2 linked regions of the Styela clava genome follow. The main gene of each other region encodes a partner of the protein of the gene in region 2 in a complex. Links are inferred from orthologs where the notes say so. Each region holds a gene or a part of one and is shown on either strand. Other genes may lie near its edges.

What was found.
Region 1: CXXC-type zinc finger protein 1-like (region 2) and WD repeat-containing protein 82-like share a complex: the UniProt entries of both Drosophila melanogaster proteins name them as parts of the SET1 complex. The link is inferred for Styela clava from reciprocal best matches to the Drosophila melanogaster genes Cfp1 and Wdr82.

What each region holds. Positions count from the first base shown.
Region 1 is NC_135254.1:14,480,166-14,492,810, forward strand, and holds WD repeat-containing protein 82-like, read right to left. Parts: upstream 5,188-12,645; 5' UTR 5,129-5,187; coding exon 4,184-5,128; 3' UTR 2,867-4,183; downstream 1-2,866. Other genes in the region: protein ABHD18-like, read right to left, coding at 420-710, 1,669-2,814; uncharacterized protein LOC120344988, read right to left, coding at 9,107-9,268, 9,844-10,035, 10,311-10,453, 10,635-10,695, 10,858-10,947, 11,671-11,877. UniProt on the Drosophila melanogaster protein: Component of the SET1 complex that specifically di- and trimethylates 'Lys-4' of histone H3.
Region 2 is NC_135256.1:21,996,571-22,008,871, forward strand, and holds CXXC-type zinc finger protein 1-like, read right to left. Parts: upstream 3,469-12,301; 5' UTR 3,397-3,468; coding exon 1,741-3,396; 3' UTR 1,251-1,740; downstream 1-1,250. Other genes in the region: transcriptional adapter 2-beta-like, read right to left, coding at 28-1,239. UniProt on the Drosophila melanogaster protein: Component of the SET1 complex that specifically di- and trimethylates 'Lys-4' of histone H3. Essential for Set1 association with chromatin and trimethylation of histone H3 at 'Lys-4' at transcription puffs.

The sequences.
Region 1 (12,645 bases), on a different chromosome or scaffold from region 2:
GACACATCTGAGGCAAACATGACTGCATAAATATGTTTTAGATATAACTGAAATTTTTTTCAATTGCAAGTACAACAGTATATAAAAGGAGTTACAATAGATGGAAAACTAGTTTACATCTTAACTCATAAGCTTAATAATACAACACTGAAGCACATTTGTCGCTAGCGTTTACCATATCTTTGTCGTAAATGAACTTACAGCAGGAAAAAAAGATTGGGATTATAAACAAGAAAATTAAATCTTCTAATAAAAGATTAGATAATGAATTTATTGAGGAAAAAAAAAACGAGAAAATTGAACCTTGTAACAAAAAATGGATGAAACAAATCTTTCTAAAGTAAAGTATATTTGAAATACTGTGGTGATTGAAGAGCCAATGAATGGGCTTCCTTCCGATCCTCCTCCTTTTCAAGACATCATGACTTGATTGCAAATATTCTGAGGGTTTGAAATAAACCTATTAAAAGAGTAGTTTTACTTTTTGAGATGCTTGAATTGTTATCCAATTCACGAATAGCGATAGGGCTGGAAGTAGTTTCACTTTCTTCCGACTCATTCAAATTCATGGTTTCATTACCGCAACTGTTGCTCTCTTTCGATGAGTGATACTTCTCTATAAGTTTTGAGAAAGTGTCAACAATAGCATTACAGAAATCGGTTTGATGCATCAAAAATCCACCTATATGTCCTGTGTTGAGTAGCCTCACCTGCAATAAGAAATATTAACAGTCAGACAGCTTCAATGACTTGCAACTTCACAAAATAGATTTTGAATTCATATTGCTAAAATAATTTGAAAAAAAAAAGAATGAAATGATTCCTTTTTAATCATTAATGGCAAAATTCAAACAATTTGATATTCAGAATATTAAAGTATACTCTGAATTATCAATTGGGTCATAATATAAACAAGCTGGTAGGCGCCCAGTATGGATCTCCGCCATTGCTTGAGCTATGAAGCCAAGTCATTTCAGGTTTACCAACTGGTAATAGGAAGACGCCATTGTACCAAAACTGCCAGGTCATTGTGAGCACTGTGCGTCTCATCAGTTTCAATCAGCGAAAGTTATGCTGTGGCTAATAATTAAAGCATGTTCAGTGAAACTCCTAAAGCTTTATCAGTTTATGGACTACAGAGATGAAAGACTTGTTCTTTGGATTGTTCGAAAAAGTATTTATTTCCGCAGAGGGTAGCATTCGCGAAATTTTAATATTCAAATTGGTTGAGGAAAAAGGCGAAAATTTATGAAAATAATCGGAATATTTTTAACCATCGGCACATTTTTCACTGCTGCCATGGAAACAAAATATCAATCTCGGCTTTCGGTGAAACGCACATTACTAGGGTGACAGCATTACTCGCGTTGGAAATTTGATACAGATCAGTCAAGCTGTTAAGAAGCTACAGCTTCGACACACTGACAGGACAGAATGACTGAGAAAAAGGGTACATATGTTCAAAAAATTAATTCTAAAAACACATGAAATTCCAGAAACAAGAGTTTGATGAAGCTATTTTGAATCTGCCTATCACATTTTAATCAGTACATAACATTACAAGCAGAAATAATCCAAATTGAGGAGTATCCAATATGACCATTTTTGATCCATTCAAATATTTGATTCAGTTGGGAATTTAATCATAAAAAAATTATTGAATGTTACCTCACAACCAGGCCAGACCTCATTCATTGGTCGTAAACTATGTATCGGATAATACGCATCAGCTTTCGCGATTACGAATGTTGCCATTGATGGGTCAATTGGAACTGAAAAATTTTGGAGATCTGTCACTTGATCCATAACACCTTTCATAAATCTAAGGGTCTGTTTCCGCCTTCTCTCTCTGTCATCCTTCTCCGATACCTGATCCCCAGCAACATTTTTCATTACATATGTCGGTTTCAGAGCACCTTTATCTTTCACATAGTCTTTACCTAGTTCATAGGAATCCACAGTGTTATATTTAATCAGGTCATTGATTTGGGTCTCATAATTTGGATCTTTTGCATATTGAGATTCCAACACCCTCCATGGTATGGCGTTACTAAGAACCCCTTCTGTCCAAACTACAGAAGAAGAAGTCCAAGACATGCAAGGTACAACAGCGACTGGTTTAGGTGAAGTTGTGGCTGCTAATGAAGCCATATGTCCACCCATTGATATACCAGTAAGACCGAACGGCCCAAAACCTTCTTTTTCAAGCCATTTTAGCAGAACTTGAGTTTCTAAAATAAGGCATAGACCCATTAAAAATAGGTCTTTGACATGTAGCAAACCGGAACGAGATTGATCTTTTGGTTTTCGTAAACCATAGTACGGATTTTCCAACAATAAAGAAGAAATTCCATGCGACAATAACGGCTTAGCGATGAGTTCTCGTCTTCTAGAAAACCCATGGTCGCCCGTTCCAGCCATATGAATGCACAGCGGATTTAAGTCAAGTTGTTTTATTCTTCTTTTCAAAGAAGTAATACTATCTGGTTTGGATTTCCTTGGAGTTGCAGGTAACACCATTTGGAAGTGTGACGTCTTACACTCTTCTGGTAGCAGTTTGGGTAAAAGTTTACAGACTGGAGAAACGAAACTACCATCGACAGTCACGCACCCATTGCTTGAGACTGGATTTTCCAAGGTCACATTAGATTCAGATATGTGATCATTAACATAATCCAAACATGAATCCCTGTTGGAAATCACACCATGGACCTTCAATATTTCCTGCAGTTCTTCTGGTTTACCCCATCCTCTGGTATAGAATTTTGTTAAGATGAGCCTTCGGTAGAATAAATCCAACTTGCTTAAATTCATTTTGCCACTCCTCGGCCCTCACACTTTTAATCAAATACTTTATATTATGTCATTATTCTGCAAAAAATTTATTGTAAAAAGAAATTGCAGCAACACAACTTACAATTTTACACCCTACAAAAATCACTTGCACGAAAGACTTCATATGCAAAAAAGATTTTCCAATCAACACCAAGGTCATAAGCATAAAGCCTGTCCACAACAAAAAATGCAAGTTCAAATCTGAATTACAGGTAAAACACTTCCAAGAGCTCAAAATCCAGTCAATTTTAATTCCAGAATAAAAGCATGCATATTCAGTTGTAGCAGTTCACCAATAAATCATGAAACATTTTTAGCATAATCCAAAAGAGAGCATGTAGTTCTTGTAGCATTTCTTGCACAAACCATATTAAAAGAAGGATAAACATGGGCATCCTCTAGTTAGGATAAGTTTATCAGGTCCAGGGATTTCCAAGATGAATCAAAAACATTTAAAATTGGATACATTTAAATTAGTTAAGTATTGATTTGGGGATTATTTTCATCTATCATTTAAAACATTTGACATCCAATAGTCAGACAAAAATAGACTTCAGTTAACTTTTATTAAGAATAAATCCCAGTAATGTTTATTCCAACTATCCTGTATTAACAAATTTGAGTGAAGTCGTCGATGAACAAGACACAATTTAGACACATTCGAAATTTATATCCAAAATATTGTTTCAGAATAATTTATATAACTTTAGCTATCCTTGAATTTCAGCCTGTTACGTACTTGACTAGTGGGGGGTGGTTGGGCTAATATCATACTTGGAAGTGGGGGAGAGACATTTTTTCCCTAGTTTCACTAAGGCCAAAACTTGTTAGTGTAAAGTGATATGATTCACATTTTAGCAAAAAAGTATGAACTATCTTTCAACTGTTATTATACTAGCAAATTGAACAATAAACTGAGACATTCCAGCCTAGACTAATATTTTGAGGACTCTCTCATATAAAAGCAGTCACTCACTCAGCTACTCCAGCCGTAATTTACTGTAAAACAAGTCATAGACGGAAAACTGTGGGAACAGAGTTCTTTAGTCATTGAGGTGAAAGTGTCTCGATTTCACTAAGCTTATAGGAAGCTGACCTAAAAATGAAATCTAAATAATCATGACAGCTTTCAGTAAAAATGAACAGTGACAGTCGACAGCAATAAAAGTGTCAAACCCAATAATTAAAGTACTGAACCCAACGTGGAGCTAAAAGTTTTTTTGTCTTTACTCAAAATGTTTTTATCAACAATAACAAACTAAGTGCTCATGGCGTTACGGCTTTCATCCGCATTTGGCAGTATGGAGTACAAAAGGCTTATCAATGCCTTTATGTCAATGAATCATCTTTATTCTTCTACAGTAGGCAACCAAAATGCCATGTTAGAGCATGTTGACGCAATCATCATATATCTCGGATTAAATTGTACGCACTGAAGTGGGCCTGGATGTTTTCCATCTAAAACAGCCGTCTTGCTTCCGTCTTCAGTACTCCAAACATGGATTCGACCATCTTGTGATCCAGATAGAATATACTGTGCATCTGGGCTGAAACTGGCCTCTAAATATAAACCTTTAGTGTTAATATGACCCATAAAAGTTTGGAGTGGCTCGCCATGAAAAGCATCAATCAATCGTAATGTTGAACCATTGGTTGAAATTAGGATCATTTTTCCATCGGAGCTGAATTTTAATCTTGTCCAGTCACAGTCTTTATCAGGAGTCAGTCGAAACGTTGTAAATGGACCTTTATCAAATGATCTCAAATCATATAATTTAATCATTTCAGAATTTATTCCAGCTGCAAAAATCAAACCCTCTGGATCGAAAGAAGCGCATGGTCGGCCAGGGAGATGCATTAAACCCTGGCAATTTGGAGATCTCAAGTCCCATAAACGTATTGTCTTGTCCAATGATCCAGATAAGAATGTGTCATCCACAGGGGACATACTTAAGGTCACTACTCTTTTTGTGTGTCCAGTGAAATAACGAAGATACTTATTATCATGTAATGATTGATATCGAATTGCGTCATCAACTTTGTTTGAAGCATAAATTACAGTGTTTCCAGCGTGAGTGTAGTTTATGTGATCGACACCATATTTTTTACTGTACAATGTTCTCTTTGGTTTTCCTTCTGTACAGCAATCATAAATTACAATCGAATCGTCATCGCTAGCTGATATCAAATTTTCACCATTTGGTGCAAAATCGACGCTGTTTATTTTTTCATTATTTTCACGAAAAACTTTGGCAACTCGAAAACTTTTTACTACAGAATCCAGTAGCTTCATTATAATATTTTTATATTCCAACTGAAAGTTATCAACTAAAAATAAAATGATACAATAGTTCCATCATAACATGAACTAAATGGGGTATAGGAATACAGAATAACTAACCAGATGGCATGGCTGATGTAAACAATGAAAATTTACAAGTTTAAGTGTCTAATTACAAGTCTAATTTTACAAGATCACACCATATGAATTAAGATGGCATGAACTTCTTTATAATGCCTATACTAGTTATATAAAAGGAGGTAAATTTCACGGTCATATTTTAGAAAACATTATTTCGTTCGTTACCCTGAGTCCCTGGGAGAATGACAAATGTTATGTGTTCGTTCACACTCTAGTTTACTGCATGTCACAAGGTGTGTTTACATTTTATTTACTGCATTGCTAAGGGGTAATTACAACTCAGGGTAACAAGGGAATGAGGGTCAAATTTTATCATAATTGTTTAAAATGCAACAGAGAAAATATTAATCACTGATATTTGATTAGTGATTTTATGATTAAACTGGCAATGAACAGCTAGAGTGGAGTCTAATACCAATAAGTTTAGGATATAAATCTCTAAGTAATTAGAATTGACCATATAACCAACATTGCACTTTGATCACTATCCTACTAATTTTCAGAAGCAGAGAATATGCAAAATAATATAGACAAATATTCTGCTATACAAAGTTGATTTTGTGCTGAGAGTTGCCACATTTTACCAGACAATATGCCAATTTCGGGTGGATTCAAAAGAGAGAGAGAGTTTATTTCATTTTGTCAAACCAAGAAAACAATTTATGCACACATAAACAAATACCAAAAAAATAGTTTTCGGTATATGACTGGAGGGCAACAATCTGACCTTTGGGGGTCATCAGAGTCAGTTGCCACCCAATTATATTAAATAAGCAAAAAAACAACTGAAGATGAACAATAAATTTACAAACTGTAGGCCTATATCTCTTTGTGTTAGGAAAAATTATTTATGAAAAAATATGGCAACTCTCTATGACTAAAAAATCAGAATATTTTTTTTTAAATGTCTGAAATTTCAAGATTTTATCAGTTTATACTAAGGATGCCGTATTTTACCACTGAGAGTAAAATATTTCTAAATGTATTGGATAAAATGATCGACTTATATTATTGTTCCTTGCAATACAGCAATATGAAAATGCAAATGAAATGGAACTCAAATCGATATGAAATAGTAAAATTAATAGATAATCAAATTACTTGAAACGTTGCCTATAAATTGCCTGGTTTTAGGGAGACCCTATGAGTTTTTTTTAAATAAATCATCCAAATTGAGGTTTTGAGGAGGAGCAAAAAAAACACATTTTTAACATATCTAAGAATATTATAGTTTATAAGAGCATTTGTTAAAACTATTTAATGATAGCATTGAGCTATTGAGTTGTTCAATACAATTCATGTCAATCTTAAAATATTCTATGAAGACTGATTTTTTTCTTTTACTTCAAGATTGTGCTAAATTTGATTGGTGATCATTGATATGTGAGTTTGTGTATTTGAACCAAATGTTGGGACATCAGAGAACTGCGCCCTACTGTTAGAGAGTCAAATGTTAATCATACATATATATTTATGGTGGGATTTCCGGCATTACTAATTTATGTACGGTAGTTGAGAGGCTAATAACATTGTAAGTATAATTTTATTGAGACTCCATACTGCCATAACCAGCATCACAGACCTTAAATTAATAAAAACATGCAAAAAAAAAAACTGATTACAAAATCAGTAGAGCAAACAAAACCTTGAGCGAGGTTTAAAAGGTAGGCTACATAATTCAAATAAACAATCTGTTGCCTAAAAGTGGTCGGTGTTCACTCATCTAGTATTTACCACCAAAGTCAATGCACACAATCAACGTCATTTCAGCATGTCATGACTGCATGAGGTACAGTGTCAGAGTGACTCAACTCACCTGACTGATCCAGCCTGACTCAACCAAAAATGGAAGTGTGGGCTACAGGCTACAGCAACGATGGCATGAAAATATACTTTATATCGGTTCACCAGAAAACTTATGTAATATATGAATATTATGTTGAAACTGCCACAAGATTTCTCATTCCTACATTCGCTACCGCTGTAATTGAACATCCTTTGCACCAAAGTTACCCCAGCCCACACTCGCTCAGCCTGACGTCAAGGGGTTAACCAACTATTTTACCACTTTATAAACGTTAATACAAAAAAACTTGGTGGCTATGACAATATAGAGACCATATGTGATATACACAACGCAAATGCAATACCAAGCCCGGCCCAGTTACCCCTAGTATGGCCTGTCAAAAACGAGTGTGGGATAGCGTCTCGAGTGTGGGCTGGGGTATTTTTGGTTCCTTTGCGACCCTCACAGCCTTATGAATAATTCGAGTTCAAAACATGACACACTATAACTAACTCGCTCACGGAGTATTGAACATAAAAGTTTACCAAACACTACTGTACTCTACATTAAAATACATTATCCTAAAATATCTTCACCAGGAAGCAAAACCATAATGCATGCCAGCCATGCCGACGCAAACGCCTGCGAGACGCGACACGCACGTGATACTTATTAGCATATTATGCATTTTGAATTCATGATAAGTGGCGTGATGCTGTTTGTACGCCTACACACAGTGTTTGCATTCTAAAATAATTCAAAGATTGATATTTGACTAAATTCAACTGTTTCATTAATCCGTAACAGGATTTACCAATTTATGAGTTATTTTTTTACTTTGCGTGCGTTCATGAATAACTATACGCACTCGTGATATTTCAATGAGTGCGGGGGAAATACATCATTTGTTCATCGTGAAGCCAGAGTTCTGATATTAGTGTTCTATAGCAAAATTTACTTGTATATCCAGAAATTTAAATAAAAATATGACGTGTCTTTTTCAGATGATTGACACGCGTGCAACATGATTGGTGATTTGCCAAACCTATGAGCATATATACATATACATATGCTCATTGGCCAAACGTATCGATGCCGCATATACGGTACTGGTGCCATTATAGACGATGCCCTGTTGTTCGAACGATTTGCCGCAACAAGACATATGCATAATCTTGTTCGTTTTATTCCATGACAACCACACCACAAATGCGAAGGAATGTAGGGTTTTCCCATCCGCATACATTATTATGCATTGTAAATTTATGGCGGTGCTCAATCCAGTTTATTTAGAGGTGCACCGATATTTCGCCGAAGATTTTCTGTGCAATTACAGCCCCCCGCTATACCTTCTTCATTTAGATCTAACATAGATGATATTAAATATTCTTATTGAAAAAATCAAGATCCATCAAATTACTGCAATTCATATTTTGACAGGAATGGTCCCAGCAGAAGATTATCACAAGAAAATACTATTCTTGTCAATTCCCATCTTTTAGCGATACAATCAGGCGTTTACCATTAAAACAATTGCGACGACCAATATTTCCGAGTGAAAAAGCTGTGCGAAGCTGCAGCTTTATTTCCTTTCAATCTCACAACCTTTTACTAGCTGAGGCACCAACATCAACTTGTGAGCATCTCACACTATTAGGCAAAATTAATATATTTAAATCAATCAAACAATATAAACAAATATTAAACGGTGAAACTCTTGACTAGATCTATTGCATTTTCACTGAATTCCAAATAGAAAACTATACCATATTCACACTCGAAAAATATCGGAAATATATAACCCATAGAGGCGGGAACTAAGGTTGGGTACTGAAAGTAAATAGGTATGGATTATCTCCACTAACACGCCACATTTTAATCTTTTGAGAATGCAAAATGAAAATAAATTATTCGATGTAACAGTAATTACAGTATATCAGCTGAGGTTAATCCTGGTCTTGATATGAAACTCTTGGGTCTATGAGATAATACAGTTATCGATATCCAACTTGATATATAAATTAAATGTGTTGGTCTCCATACAATAAATTTGGGAAACTTTATTACAGCTTCGACAATTCCCCCTGATTGTCACCCACATTGTATTCCACCCAGTCTTGTGCGATTGGGGCAGAAAGCATTTCATCACTTAATTTGAATGATGAACAGAGATGAAGAGCATCAGGTGCAAGATCTCGACATGCTTCAGCTGCAACTTCATTTACCTGAGTATAGAAAGTTAATTTTACCGTATATTATAACCATTTAATTCTGCAATCCCTAATGTTTTAAGTATGTCAAACACATGAGTGATAGGATAGGAAATACATATTATCTCAGAGGATATGAAAACTGATAAAATTGCTTAATCATATGCTGAAGCACGGACTCCCTATTACCAGACCATGTCTGGTATGGGATTAGTTAGCCATTTATTTGTTTGAGATACATGAACTTGATGGTGGAGGAAGCCGTAACCGATCACAGGTTATATGAACCACCCTATGGCGGTGAGGAGTCCAGAAACCACCGCAGGATGATCAGAGGTGCAATGTGAAGCATATTCCTAATGTTTAGCACGACACGCCACACCGCCAAGCCTGCTGTCACCATGTCAGGTATGGTATAATTACGCAATTCAATTGTTTCCATGCATAGTTATGATAAGTAAAAAAAAGTCATCTTTTTAATTTGTTACTCGAACCTTAAAGATTTTGCAGGTCCGAATGTAGTCAGAGTTGTTTATCTGAAATAGCCCACTTTTAAAAGATGGTTGAAAGTACGATATAAGATACTTTACCTGCTTTGCTATTGAAGGCGTGATGACCTCATTTGCCGCAAACCATCCAAGATCACGTTGAATAGTATCAATCAAAAATAAGTGATATAATTTTGATAAGATGGTTTTGAGTGATGAATGAGTATCTGGAGAATCAATTGTAAACTTCACCCTTTCGCTAATCAACCTTTCTCCATAAGATCTTGCAGCATTCTGGATGAAAAACAGATTCAATAAGTAATCATTTGAGTAAAATATTCAAAAGCAGAGCGCAACTTAATCATATGGCGAACCACCGCCTCTTGTCCGGTTACCACTCGTATGGGATTAGTTAGCCAGATATTTTGTTTCCAGATGCATGAGCTTGATGTTGGAGGAAGGCGCAACCGACCAGCGGCTACATGAACCACCCTACGACGGTGAGGATAGGAAAATAGTCATTCAATTATCTTTTACAGTCTAAAAAATACAGTAAACAAACTTAGTACCTGCACAAGATCGCTCTCTTGTAACATCCATGTATCGAAGATTTTGTCCATTCCTCCTTTCATTAATTTCACTCCAAGTTCAGAGAACTGAGAAGTCTCCCTTAGTTGGAGTAAATAATGAAGATAAGCCGGGCTCTTCAAATCTGAAATAGAAACAAAGGAATAGTATGAATTTTTTAAAATATACAAATTAATTCAAGCAATTACAAAAGGCAATTTGACAGCTTATAAATTTGGAATATTGATAACCTATTTTAAATAAAGCATAATAAAATGATAGCAGCACTTCTTGTTTAAATATATAATCTTTATAAATATTGTTACCTGCTTCAACTGGTTCAAGTTTTTCAGGATTGAAAAGGTTTAATCTCTCTTTGGCAACTTTCTAAATGGTAAAGGCAAATTTGAGTCGCAATTAATCGAAAACCCGCATCAATTTTACCATCTTATGGCTATGCTTCATATGCCAGACATTTCAAAGTCTCTACTCTATTAATCAACATCTGTTATGTTTAGGTTACACATAAATATAACAAGAAAAATTAACCTGCATGAGAACGCTGTTGTCTCCTTCCGCAGTTATGGAAGCATGACTCGATCCAATAAATGTACCGAATCTGTTAACACTGAGGTAGCCCTGAGAAAGGAAAATATTTGTAATAGAAGTAAATGTATTATATTCAATCATTATCTATTACATGGTGGACAAGGGATTTGAATCAGAGAATTTTAAGTTGCCATGAAAACATAGCAGAGCTTTAATGCTTTAACCCAGGGGTGAATCACTTTCCAGGGTAGGTTCCAGATAACAGACCTTCTTACTGGGGTGGAGGGTCAATATTAAACTATGATTAAAAACAGTTTACGGTTTACAAAAACTAGCGTAACAGTTATGTACAACAAACATCTATTGTACCACCAAGTTGCACAATGATTAACAGGACCTCTGTATCCAGCTGCATGCGTCCAAGCAGCTTTTTTAAATCAGGCTTGAAGCTGCTTGTGCTGATTCGTTACACCGCTCATAGGTTTGAAAACACTAGAGGAGATCTGTTTTTGCTTTTATTAATCTTCATACTTCGAAATAATAATTCAGAGATGGGTGAATTTGAGATCGCTCCTTATGCACAATATATTCAGGTGCGAATAATGATAAGGAATTATGGTATTTATTTTAGCCGACGATTCGTTATTTCAATCGGTATTTTTAACGAAAATTTATATCCCTAAAAACCGTGTCATAATTTCAGCACGTACAAGTGGGCCAGATAAAATACTTTGGTGGACGTTATTGATCCCGCTGAAATTCTCTTAAACGTCATATTAGATTCATTCTCCAGTCTATTTTACTAGGATTTACCTGACCACCACATCTCTCTCTTGCTACAGCAGCCATTTCCACAGCATGCCATCCGATGATTGCTTTGAGAGCACAGCATAAAGTCACAACATTGAGATGGCCGGTTTTATCAGTCGGTCTCTTGGCCCATTCTTCTTTGACATAATCAAGAGCAAGATTCATGGCGATTGTTCGAGCCATGAAAGGCATAAGTGATCGTTGTTGCAACTAAAATATATGACTAGGTTAGAATGGTGCTAGGTTGGAATGGTAGTAAATGGTGTTAAATAAGGATATATTATAAAACAAAGCCAATATAATTATCATACAAAGACTACTCAATGTAGCTCATCCTCCACAGTATATACAGGGTGTCTCAAAAGTAAGTATACACTATATTAATTTTGATTTTCTTTTTAAATACTCATGATAGAGCGATCATTTATTCAGAAAACATAGTACGAATGAGTAGTAAAATTTGGGTATTGTTTGCATTTTTCAACACCCACAGAATGACAAGGAGATTAACCCAAAAAATGAGGTGCAAAATTGCTGCTTGGCAATTTGGAATTAATTCGGCTCCTACACAACAAATAATTTATGTAATTCATTTTAAATTCATAGAAACTGGATCTGTAGTTGATGCAGAAAGATCAGGAAGACCAAGGAGCGGGCACTCTGAGGAAAACATTCAGAGCCGAATTAATTCCGAATTCTCTGTTAAAAAGAGTCACTGAGTTTGCCATACTGATTTATATGCTTCCTGCCAAACAGCAATTTTGCACCTTATTTCTTGGGTAATCTCCTTGTCATTCTGTGGGTCAATCAAAAATGCAAACAATACCTAAATTTTACTTCTTATTCATACTTTGTTTCATGAATAAATGAAAGCTCTATGATGGGTACCTGAAAAGAAAATCAATATTAAAAGTGTATACTTACTTTTGAGACACCATGTATAATAAAAAAGGCAATTATCAGTGGCAAATCTGCAAT
Region 2 (12,301 bases):
TTTAACGAGGTTAAAGAAAGGTATGCATTATTGGGCAGAAACTCTTGGTAACCATCCATTATTATTCAAAAAACTTTGAATCTTTTTTCTTTGAAATTTTTCTAAATAGCCTGGAAATCTAATTTTTATTCCGAGGCCGTATTTTTTCTGTATAAAGTCTTTTATTATCAGAGTTTTTGTTGTTAAATATCTTGATGGGATCATTTTAAGCATTCGACACATTGTTTTTTCATCAGAACTAAGCAAATGATGTCCATACTCTGAACTCAGTCTATCAATTGGTTTTTCGTTCTGACTTGAATCGGATGTTGAACTCTGTCTAATTTCAGAGTTAATTTTGTTACGTCTACGCTGCTTGACGTCGAATACCACACCATCCTCTAGCCTTTTTATTCCATTTTTACGATACATTTTCAAATGCTTAATCTTCGTTTTCAAAATTTGTTCTTTCCTTGCATCTCTTGCAAAATTAAGAGCTTGTTCTTCTCGCATATATTGAAAGCATAAACGTAGACGTTTCAAATAATCTCGATCTTGTTTGGCTCCAGGTAATGGTTTACCGATAAATTTTTCCACCAGATGGTATTCCCTTGCTACACTTTTTCTTCTGTGCCGTTCTTTTAATTTGTCAAGATACATTCCTACTTGCGCAACTTTCAAATCAAGGTCTAGTTCATCCTCATCACCATTTATTGCCAAGCCACTGATTAGTATTTCAGCCTCGTTATCATGTTCCATTTCATAATCATCTCTTAATGGCATATAAGCCAATTCTAGCTCTTCTTCTTTATCCAAATCCAAACGAGGCAACTGGATAGACAGAATTGATTCATGCAATGGTGGTGTATGATCTGTCATCCTATTAGGGATATCATTTGGCACAGTCACTCGCCCAAGATCGACACTTTCAATATAAGAAGCGTAATAATGCTCCTCCACTTCTTTTGAAGTTCTTTCACCAATGTGAACCGCTACATCCTCCCAGTTTCCAATGCCAAATTGTTCAATTCCATCCAAAAGTAGTTTTTCTTCAAAGGCTGTCCAATTAGGATCGACAACTTGAAATGATCCTTTATCAATAATCTTGTATGAATGAGTTTTCAAATGATTGCGGAATTCAACTCCTTTCGAAAAACATGACAAGCATATTGATGTGTTTGAGCATTCTGAACAGCGAATATGCACAAGAGGTAATTCCGTTTGACAGTGATTACATTCTGATCTACTTGGAACAGACATTTTGTCCGTAACTAAAAAACAAAATGGGAAAGTTAGAAGACAAGCTAAGAAAACAGAATAACAAATTTCAACAAAAGTTGGATATTACAAAGACAAAAACACAAGTCAATCAATATCTAGCATAGCCAACTATACATGAATATCCAATCTGATTGGCACAATTATGAAACACACTATTCTGTGAAAAAAAAACTTTTGTATAGCATGTACAGGCCATACTCATCAAAATACTGTAACAAGCCAAGCATACAAAACTAACTAAAGTTTATTCAAGTAAATTATTGCGCAATTTAAAAATGAAACATCCCATCATCCAAATGTGTCACACACATGTCTGTTGATATAACATGTTCATATGAGACTATGAACATTCCATGGTGTGGATCGCAAACAAACATTTTCAAATAATCAAACTTTCAAATATTTCAATTGCTTTTCTATTTGTTTCCTAAACTTGAAAGCAGGGCCTTCAATTATGAATTTATCAAATGAATTACAATCTTAAATGACAAGTCTATATGCAGGTCTTTTAACATTTGATGGTTTTGTTCGCATATCGAGACATGCAGGATCATGGGCAGTTGTTTGGTGCAATAACAAAGGTACAACACCAGCTCTTGATACCATAGAATTGCGAATTCTGCGTTCTTCCTCAAATATTTCATCAATTTTTAGCCATTGTCTAATTCGCTGTAAATCAACCGATGCTCTGTACATAGATTCCCATTTAAAATGTTTGTTACATTTTCTCTTAGCTCTGCTGCAGAACTCATTAGCCAGTTTAGGTTCATCACCCGTATATATATCCTCTTTCAATGGGCATCCACATACTTCATTGGCTGTGATTTTTGGTTCTTTTGCATGTTCTGGACAAATTACCTGTAATCTTTTACAATAAGTTTGTTGCTGTCGATTATAGACATCACAAAATAGTCGCTCTGAGCCTTCAATACGCGTCGGATACACAGACCCAAAAGAGATTTGAGATTCAATTTTAATATAACATTTGTCCATATGTTTTATAGCACCTCGAAGAGAAACAGGGTGGCCACAAACAACACAAAATATAGTCTGATCACTTTCATCAGTTTCTTCTGCATCAGACAATTTTTCACAAATTTCAAAAGTTTTGGATTGCGTAATAATTGATTCTAATCTCCTAAATTTTTCCTCCAGTGCCTGAAGTTCGCTCCTTGCTTGAACCATTGCAGCCCTAATTCTCTCCAACTCTTCTCGACCCATTTCATTTGCAACTGTTGGAGTATGATGCCAGTCATTCACTCGAGATGGCATAATGTGTAGCAATCTCTTAGCAGCTAACCTTTTACCACATTCATCTGAGCAGTACTTGGATTTTGATCTTGCAGCCAAAGTGCATCCAGGTCCATAACATTGTCGGCCATGAATTTCTAACTTAGTATCCGGTTTGCTAAACTTTTTCTGAGAAAACATACTATGAGATATATCAAAATTTTTCCATCTTGATGGCTCCTCTTCGTATTCGGTCTTGATACTCTTTTTAGGAAGTGGTTCTTTTTTCACTTCAAAATGAGAAGTTGACAAATTAGTTTTCATAGTAAGACATTGTCGTTTTAGACACTTCATATCTCTGGTTGGATTCAGGCAGTTTTGACATCTTTTACAATTAACAATACGTAAACAATTTTCACATTCGCCACATTCATCTGCCGACAACAAAGCAGCTTGTTCTTTATTACTGATTGATACATTTTCCTGTGGAGACTCTTTCTTGACATTAACAGGTAAAGATGTAGACAGTGAATTTGATTTTGTAATGTCAGATTTTTGATCATCATCATTCTCGATAACCTTTTTTATTTTTTCACTTTTGACTTGTTCTTTTTGACCATCTTCACGCCTTTTTCTTTTTGCTTCTTTCTTTTTCAATTTCTTTGCTTTTTTACCATCTTCACTTCGATTCTTAGATTTCTTCGACTTTCTATATTGAATCTGTAATGAAGGGTTTTTACGACGACACCATTTGCAGTAAAAGTACTTGATTCGTCTTGACTCACGCTCCGTCATATTAATACAGTCTCCATGATACCATTCTTCGCACTGATCACACATGATCATGAATCTGTCAATATCAGGACTTCTGCAGATGCAGTAAAGAGTTATTTCTTCATCAGACATATTGTAACTATAATAGACTATACAGGAATACAGTACAATTCCTTGTTTATCTATGTCTATGACCTGTAATAAAAGTCTATGTTAATAATATAGTATAATATAGTACAATCACAGAATCAAGTCAATCACAGTAATTCAAAGTGTTTACAACTTCTACTTTCAGAGTTGGTCAGTTATGGTTTCTCTTCTGTTCTTCCACAGTCAAACCGCCATGCATATAAAACAGATAACTGGTCAACTAATTCCATACCAGTCTGCCAGTAGGGCAGAATGCCAAGGTTTTAGGATGCCCCAACATTCGGTTCAATAAAACAAACACTCCATTTGTCTATCGAAGAGGGCATCTGGCACGACAACAGATGCATCAGATGGCACTATGCTTGTCTTGATAAATATTTAGACTAAATCGATCGCGACATTCGTAGGCCATCACATTACGCATTAGCAAAGTTGTGTTTTTTTGCTTACTCGTAAATGCTAGGTTCAATTTCTTTTTTGAGTAAATCCGATTATTTTTTTCAGAAAAATCATGTGTGATGCTTTCAGAACGCGCCTCCTTTTAGTTTATTGTGTAGTGCCGGTTTGCCTATATAGATTGCCAGATTGTCGCGTAATGAGGGGTTTGCAGATTGCACTCACTGTTATAATGCCTTGGTCTAGCCTATAATGCATGAGTGGGAGAAGAGGCTTCTGTGGCACACCATAGGCCTATCAATGAACCGTCTATCAGTCTATTCTCTCCCCCGGAATAAAATGATACTTCATCTTACTCCTGTACCGGTACCGGTACCGTACCTCAATACCTCATACCTGTACCGGTACACCTACCTACTCTTAGTCTTACTGCTGTACTGCCAGACTGTCCTCCAGCTATGCGGGATAATCAAAATATAGGCCTACTTATATGCCTAACCCTGACAAACACCAGTGTGGGCACTGGTTTTCTCACCTAACCTTACCAGAAAATGGTTGGACCGTACCTTTCTTGCAACAAGGCAGCGAATATTTCACACATCGAGTTTTCCTATTTTCGAATATGAGAGGACAACAGACGAGCACAAAAATACCTCTTATTGATGTTGCGCCCCCTAGCGGAGGTAAATAAGAGTTAGGTTTTACATATTTATGGACCTTTCCCCAAGCATCGACTTCCTTGTTTACTTCGTAACATTGGCCAATCAGCAAGATGCAAAAAGTGACGTAACAATGCTCCCTTTTCGCATCCGCTCAGACACTTTTCTCACTCAGACAGATTTTCAAACGTGGTCGTAAACATTACCTCGATTTTGCATTTTTGAACTCTATTTGTTAGTTTTCAGTTGTGTTTCGGAAACTTAAATCTAAATCAGATAACTCAATGATCACTCTGTCTTCCTAGGAGTTTTAATTTAATTGCAGTAATAAAAAATAGTGTAGAAATAGCTGTGATAGACTAGGCTAAAATCCTTTACCGGTACTTAGATTAAAAATTAGATTGTTGTATGCGATGAATCATAATTATGATTTGAAACACACACCCCATTTAACAGGCGCCAACTTGCCAAAGCACTCTTAAAATAGCCCCAAAAATTTTGCAATGGTAAAGTATAGGAAGAATTTTTCGGGGTCAAAGTTCAGGGAAAGGTCCATTGGATGGAAAATCTGATATGATGTTATATTCACGCTTAATTATATGTCGATCTCGAACGGTTATCAGTCCATGCCGGGTGTGGTATTTTTTATTCAGCTAGAGGAGTCCAGCAATCCTCTCACACATCCCTTATCCCCTATACTATGGAATTCAAAACTGCGAATCCACGCAGAGTTATCATGTGGTGCGATGATAAGTATATTCCCAACTCATAGCACAATGCACCACCCGCCACCAGAGGCGTAGCTTAGGGGGGCAATGGGGTACATACGCCCCCGGGCGCCAAAATGGGACTTGCAAAAATTTCACAACAAGGATAAAAAAAAACGGTCACAAGCAAGATTGCACCGGCGGCATACATCTAGTCTTAGTACATGGCCAACTGCACACTTGGTCCAATGAGCATATATACATATGCTCATTGCTTGGTCAGACCACTTACGTCGAATGCCGACGTCATCAGGCACATGGCTCGTGCACAGTCAGATTTCCATCATAATTACATGGCCAAAAAAACTGGCCGGGAAACAAAGCAAATGTTAGGTAACAAAATGCACGGGGTTAATTGATTAACGTGGTTCTGTATCGTTTAGTTCTTTTCTGTGCACTCCGATGTATGTGGGTATTAGTTCTGTGATGGAGACAAAAGGCAACGGCGAAGTGCTGGTAATACATGTTTTGAGTAATACGTGGTTTTGTATTTCGTGGTTGTCAAAGCAGACTTACATAAAATATATTATATTGTGCTAAAAGAGACCAATGCCGTTTTCGACAAATAATAAAGGTAAGCTTCGTGATGATCTGAGTCAAGCCGTATGTAGTAGTATATATTTACGGTCAAGCTGCTGTAGAAAATGTCAAAACAAAATTCACAGCCTGGGGGTTCGGGTGGGTAGACGAATTAGGCAACGTAATTAGAGAATGCCTGGAGAACTGAAAAGAGATGCAGGACTTCAACCAGAAGAATAAATTGTGCGCGTTATGAAGAATGTATTTGATCGGCTTCAACGGGAGATGTCAACAAATTTTTCACGACTAAAAGACCTAAATACAAAATTTGGATTTCTGCTTGACGTTAAAACTCTTCTATCTGACACAGATGAGGATACAATTCGTCGAGATTGCACAGATTTTGCAAATTTCTACGACACGGACATCAATGGCCGAGAACTTTTTACCGAAATTGGAAATAGCAGAAAGCTGCTCAGTGACAGAACTGAAATTCAACCAGAAACTCTTTTGACTCTCCTTTGGTTTTATTGTGGCTTTTGGAGACGACGTCCCAAATCTGCGAATTTCTCTACAAATTTTGTCAACATTACCAGTTTCAATTGCAAGCTATGAACGGTCTTTCAGCAAATTGAAACTTATTTTGTCGTATTCGCGTGCATCAATGGGACAAGGTCGTCTCAGTGATTTTTCACTTAGGTGTTGAAAGAGAAACATTGAAAAAAAAAAAGATTTTGATAACGTGATTAACAAGTCTGCGACAGTGAAATCGAGAAAAATAAATTTATTGTAGATCATGTAAATCATCTTTGACTGAGTGGGACATTATGGACATAAATATGCTATATTTTGTATAGCTTTGCTTCTTCTTTAAATTGTTTTTACATATACAAAATAAATGTAATAGAAAATATGATTAAACGTGGAGGTCGGGGCGCCACTTTTATAGTTTGCCCCGGGCGCAAAATATTCTGGCTACGCCTCTGCCAGCCACGACATCTTTCAAACCATGTTTTCAGATATGAATATTGAATCAGAATCTGAAACACTGTTATATATTATGTAGCCTACTCTTTCGGTCAAATCAAATCAATAATCACTTTTTGATTTTGTAAACATAAACACAATAAATTTTCATTTAGAGGATTGAGCATATCAATGAGAATATATACATATAGATGAATCTACACATTTTAAATATATGCAGTTGTACATAAACGAAAATGAAGGGCATTGCCACTTTTCAATCTTTGAAACTGACTCTTTTGTAAGTTGAACGTTGAAACCTCATGTCGGGTATGGGATTAGTTAGTTACTTATTGGTAGAGTAAGCCGTAACCGACCAGCGGTTATATAAATTGTAAACCACCCTACGGCGGCGTGGAGTCAAGCAATCTTCTCGCACATACCTATCCCCGCATGGGATTCGGACCCACGAATCCAAGCAGAGAAATCAGAGGTGCGGTGACGAGCGTATTCCTAACGATTAGCCACACCTCCGCATCCATGAAATAAACTGACTAGCATGCTAGTATTGAATTAGGACCGCAGCTGCTTCCCAGAGCATCGACTCACTTGTTTACTTCCTTAGCATTGGGTATTCGGCAAGATGTTAATCTGAAACAATAAAATTAAATTGATGACACATTCACCATTTTTGCAGGACTTGGAAACTAGTACGCAATATCGCAATGATGAACATTGAACACATATTTTGGAGTGAAACCTATATTTTGGCGTAACAACTGAAGACACGATGGTAAACATTTTAGCTTGTTTTCATGACTTCGCATAGATCAAATAACCCGATTTTGCAGAATAGTATACTCTCATTTTTTAGAGCAGCGTTTCCCAAACTTTTTCGTCCACAGACACTTACACTTTTAAGTTATCTGGTGGGTTCGATTAGAGATTTTGCCATGTACAAAATATGGTCGTCTCATATAACGTTCATGTCTTTTGGATGTTATATGTAGTTCAGCTGCCAGAGCCATGCTCATTCATATAAAAAGTGTTCTAAAAACGTGATCCTTACAAACTAAGTTAGATATTGAACTTCGGGTGTCGCTGCTCGATCGCCATTCCTGGTTCCCAGCGACTTCCCTTCCCCAGTAAAATTGTGTGTCCAGTTTTGTATTTTGTTAATTTCGTATGTTATTTTTTACTGAATGGGAAAAAATAGTGGAACCCCAAAAAATAAAAAAGTAAAATTGATAAATAAAAAAAAAACGGTGTAATGTAGCGGTTCCTAATGAGTTCGTCGTGGCGATTTGCGCCGCGAAAACTAACAGAATTGTGTTAAACATACCTAAAATATGATTGAATATTTTACATACATCATTTATTATAAGTGTTTTACTGTTTCTTAATTTGAATGCTGTGTGTATGAATCAACAAATTCATTTTACCTTTCTATGTCGTTTACTTTCCATTACGTAGTGTTTGCCTCTAATGTTACGTCCAATGGAGATAGAAGTACTCGGTGCAACTTTGCGAGCTGTAGTTTATTTATCTGCTGAATCGAGTTTAGCAAACATGAGTAATTTTTTCAGAATTTTCAAGTAAAACCAGGCAGAGATGGGGAAGAAGAGTTGAAACCAAAAACCAAAACAATTGCTGCAAACTTGATAATGAACTTAACAGTCAAAAAGCTAGGCCGACGGTTAACGAAAATGCCATTAAAATTTTAATGAACGATTATCATGTTTATCATGATAAAAATTTAAAAAAAGATGTAAAAAATATTCTATCCTCAAAACTATTTCACATCTCAGTCCCACCAATGACATTAAACGAGAATATCGGTTTTGGAAACCGAAGACTTATCGATCGATAGTTAGGGGATCCCCCAAAACAGAAACTGCAGTTTCGATTCATCCGCTCTTGTAACTTGCGCACTGCGCATCGCACACACACACTCGGCGGGTTTCAAAATTCTCTCGCTTTACAAAAATCTAGATCACTATATCAATAATTGATTGATAACTCGCTAATTATACGACATAATTCGCCCAAAATCAATAGGCTTCTGGTCCGAGATAAGTTGAATGCACATGCAAAATCTGGAGCAGATTCAATCTCGCTTTCGTGAGATATCGCGTGCATCTAACAGACACACACACAGACACACAGACAGACATACAGACAAATACCTATCAATATACTTACCGATCTTAAGATCGATAAGTAACAACATGATAGGCAACTCTGACGTCACTCCATAAGACTGCAGGCGAAAGATTATATTTCATGATACGCTCCAATGCACGTATTTCTCGTCGCCTTTCGCGACCGTTTTTCGCTCGCTTTTGCTACTCGGCGTCTTCTTTGGGTGTAGTACCTGCCTTTTTGCGCCTGTAACGAAAAATATAATCACTATATCTAAGAAGTTTTGCTCACTTGGTAAGCTGGAATGGCAGACAAGCTGTAGAGAGTAATTCTGGACATCATAGACGTTTTTATTATCAGAGAAGATTACAAACGCGATAGCGTAAAGATTTGAGTGGAACATTTTGCAGATAATGACAAAGTTAGTAATTTTAATGTTTGCGCTTAAACATTGAAATTTCATTTAAAGAGGGTGTCATACAAAACAGCAAAACTGTTTTTACTTCTCCTAACGGTGCTGTGATACAATTCCATAAAACAAAGTTTGCACCTATCGAACTTGCTTTAGTAGGTGAATTTATTAGACATATTACATATTCAGTTAATCGTAGGTAACATTGCTGGTATATAATGCCTCGTAGATAGGTTTGTGTCTAAATTTAGAAATTTAGCTCATAGCCCACTAATTAATATTATCTTCTGTGCAGGAGGTTGCAAGACTGAAACTTAACTTGCAGCCTTACCGATCAGCTGACGATGCTCATTTAGTTTGGCTCCAGCAAGTCTTCATGAAAGACTTGTGTGAATGGAAACTACCCATATGTTTTTCTTTCCTCCGATTTTAGAAGACAAATTTATTCTGAGGGATTTCGCATCTAATTCTCATTGATTGTTAGCTGTTTATAACTCCTATTAATTGTGAATTCTGATTATAACAAAGAGTTAAAATTTTTTTTACGTAATTCACTGGCACCCTTTTCTTGTCAATACTCCAAGCTGAGGTAATAAACAAGACAATACATTTTTTGCATCTGGCAGCAAAATATGCACACTAATTAAAAGTTTGACACATTGAGATAATACATCATGACAGAAAATACAAGTTAAAGATATGTATGACCATCACATGGTAATTAAAATTAAAAAAAATTATTAGGGGCTGTGGAGTATGAGAAGGTTCAAGACAAAGAAAAGAACAAAAATTCATAGCTCATGAACTCTCAATTTTGCCTTCATTGCTTTATTTCCCAAAGCAATGCTTGAATCGTCTAGAATCTACTCTAGATGGATCAGTGGTGTCAAACTCATGGGTTTTCGAGAGCCGTATTGCATTTTGGAAATTGTAGAAAGGGCCGCAAACAGTTTTTGATAATGTATACTTGAAAGATATTTTTAAGATAGTTTTAGTTTACGACATAAATTGTGATGCAACTAAACAGTTGGATTAAGTTTTATTATTTTCTTCAATTTCAAATGCAATTACATATTAATATTTGCATTCCACTATTATTGCAAGTTACTGTATTTATTACAAAAAATCATAAAATTCTATGTACAACCATCAAAATCATTTTTGAACAAGCTTTGGAAAGAATAATACATACACTAAAAATGACTAAATGTAAATATATGGACCTAAAATTAACAAAAATACTACAGTATAAACTCAATCTTTTTTTTAATTACATTTGTCCTGACGTTTGGCATCTTTTTTTGTCACCAGCATACTAGCGCCAGGCTGAAATGATTTTATAGTATCAACTCTAACAAACGAGGTCACATGATCATGGGTTAATCTGGATCTTTGCGGATGTTTAATTAATTCCAGTAATGCAAAAAAGTTACTTTTATCATTTCATGTATAGATCAGTAAAAAAACAAATGACAGATTTTTTCGACAAGACATTTCGCGCCACATAGGGTTGCTTGAATTATTATTGATATTGATTTTTAGTAACTAAGTCGTTGTATAATTATATTAATATACCAACACATGGAAATTTTCTGTTCGAAGTTGCTCTTCGAATTTGTCATATTGACTGCTGAGCTTATTGTGTTTTTTCATTGTACTGATGGAAATATGACAAAATAAACAATATCTCCAGAATTTTGCGAAATTCAGAAATATTGCAACTCCCAATTTTTTCGAAAATGCCACCTTCTTCTTGTACTTTGCGTTTAATTTAATCACTCAAGTGTTTTATTCAAGTATTCTTTTGCTAGCCTGATGTGTATTCCTAATTGGGTCAAAATGTGAACAAAAAAAATAATTTTTCAAAACTAATTTCAGTAATTTGTTTTCTGTGTGAATAATCAATTTCACTTTAAAAGGTTTGAAAAATCTATTACATTTAGATAAAAAAAAACTTCCAAAATACTATTACAATTATTGTTAATCGTTCGAGGGCCGCACTGGAAGGTCTATGGGGCCGCGAGTTTGACATCAAATGTCTTTGCATGCCTCCATTGGTTGTTCTTCTATTGCAAACATTTATGGAGTACTCTAACTATTTTTGCTATTGCCTCTTGTGCTGCAGGAGTCTCACAATGCTTACCCAGGTTTGTCCACAACTTTCACATCTGAAGAAAGAGAGAAGATTTATTAATTTTCGTTAGGAATAAATAAATAATGTCTATATGATTTAGAATGGAAAAGCTAATAAATCCAATATCTCATGTTTTATGTAAAAAATGTTTTACTGAATTTGGTATATAAACCAACTAATATAGAGGACTTGCACGGGTCACGTGACATTGTTACTGGACGGCAATAAAACAAAAACGTCCATTTGGCTCCTGTCAGTTGCAAGTCGGATTATACGTTTGCGTTTTGTTTGGTTGTTGAAAATGGTTATTTCGTTGTTCTGTTGGCTGTACGTATAGTATAGACATGGACGAAATGGATCTTCAGTAATATTCCACTGATTTCAAAAAATCCTGAACGTCGCGCAATGTGGATATCATCTATTGCCTATTGGCAGAACTGCTTGGTGTCAAGTCCAGAAGCCATCTTACTTGTGTTTCACTGTTTGCGGACAGCACTTCGTTGATGGTGAGTGATAATGTGGTGATAGTGTGCCGTTATCAATTTCTTTAAATATTCACAAGCTCCCTCATTTCAATGGAAAGCAGATGACAAACTACTGTTATCAGTAGGCCTAGGCGTGGGCCTACTTGCAGTTGCAGACTTGACTTGTGTAAGACAGTAAGGAATTAATAATCAATTGCTGTACTGCTGTAAGGTCTGACAGAAGGTATTGTTTCCTGATTAGCAGGTAATCTATTACTAGGTGTGAAAGGTTGAATAGATAACTAAAGTTTAACACCACTGGTCATGCAAAAAATAACCAGAATTCAATTTAATTCGCCATCTAGGAATACGCTCGCCACCGCATCTCTGATCACCCTGGTAGTTTCACAGGTTTCAATCCCATGCGG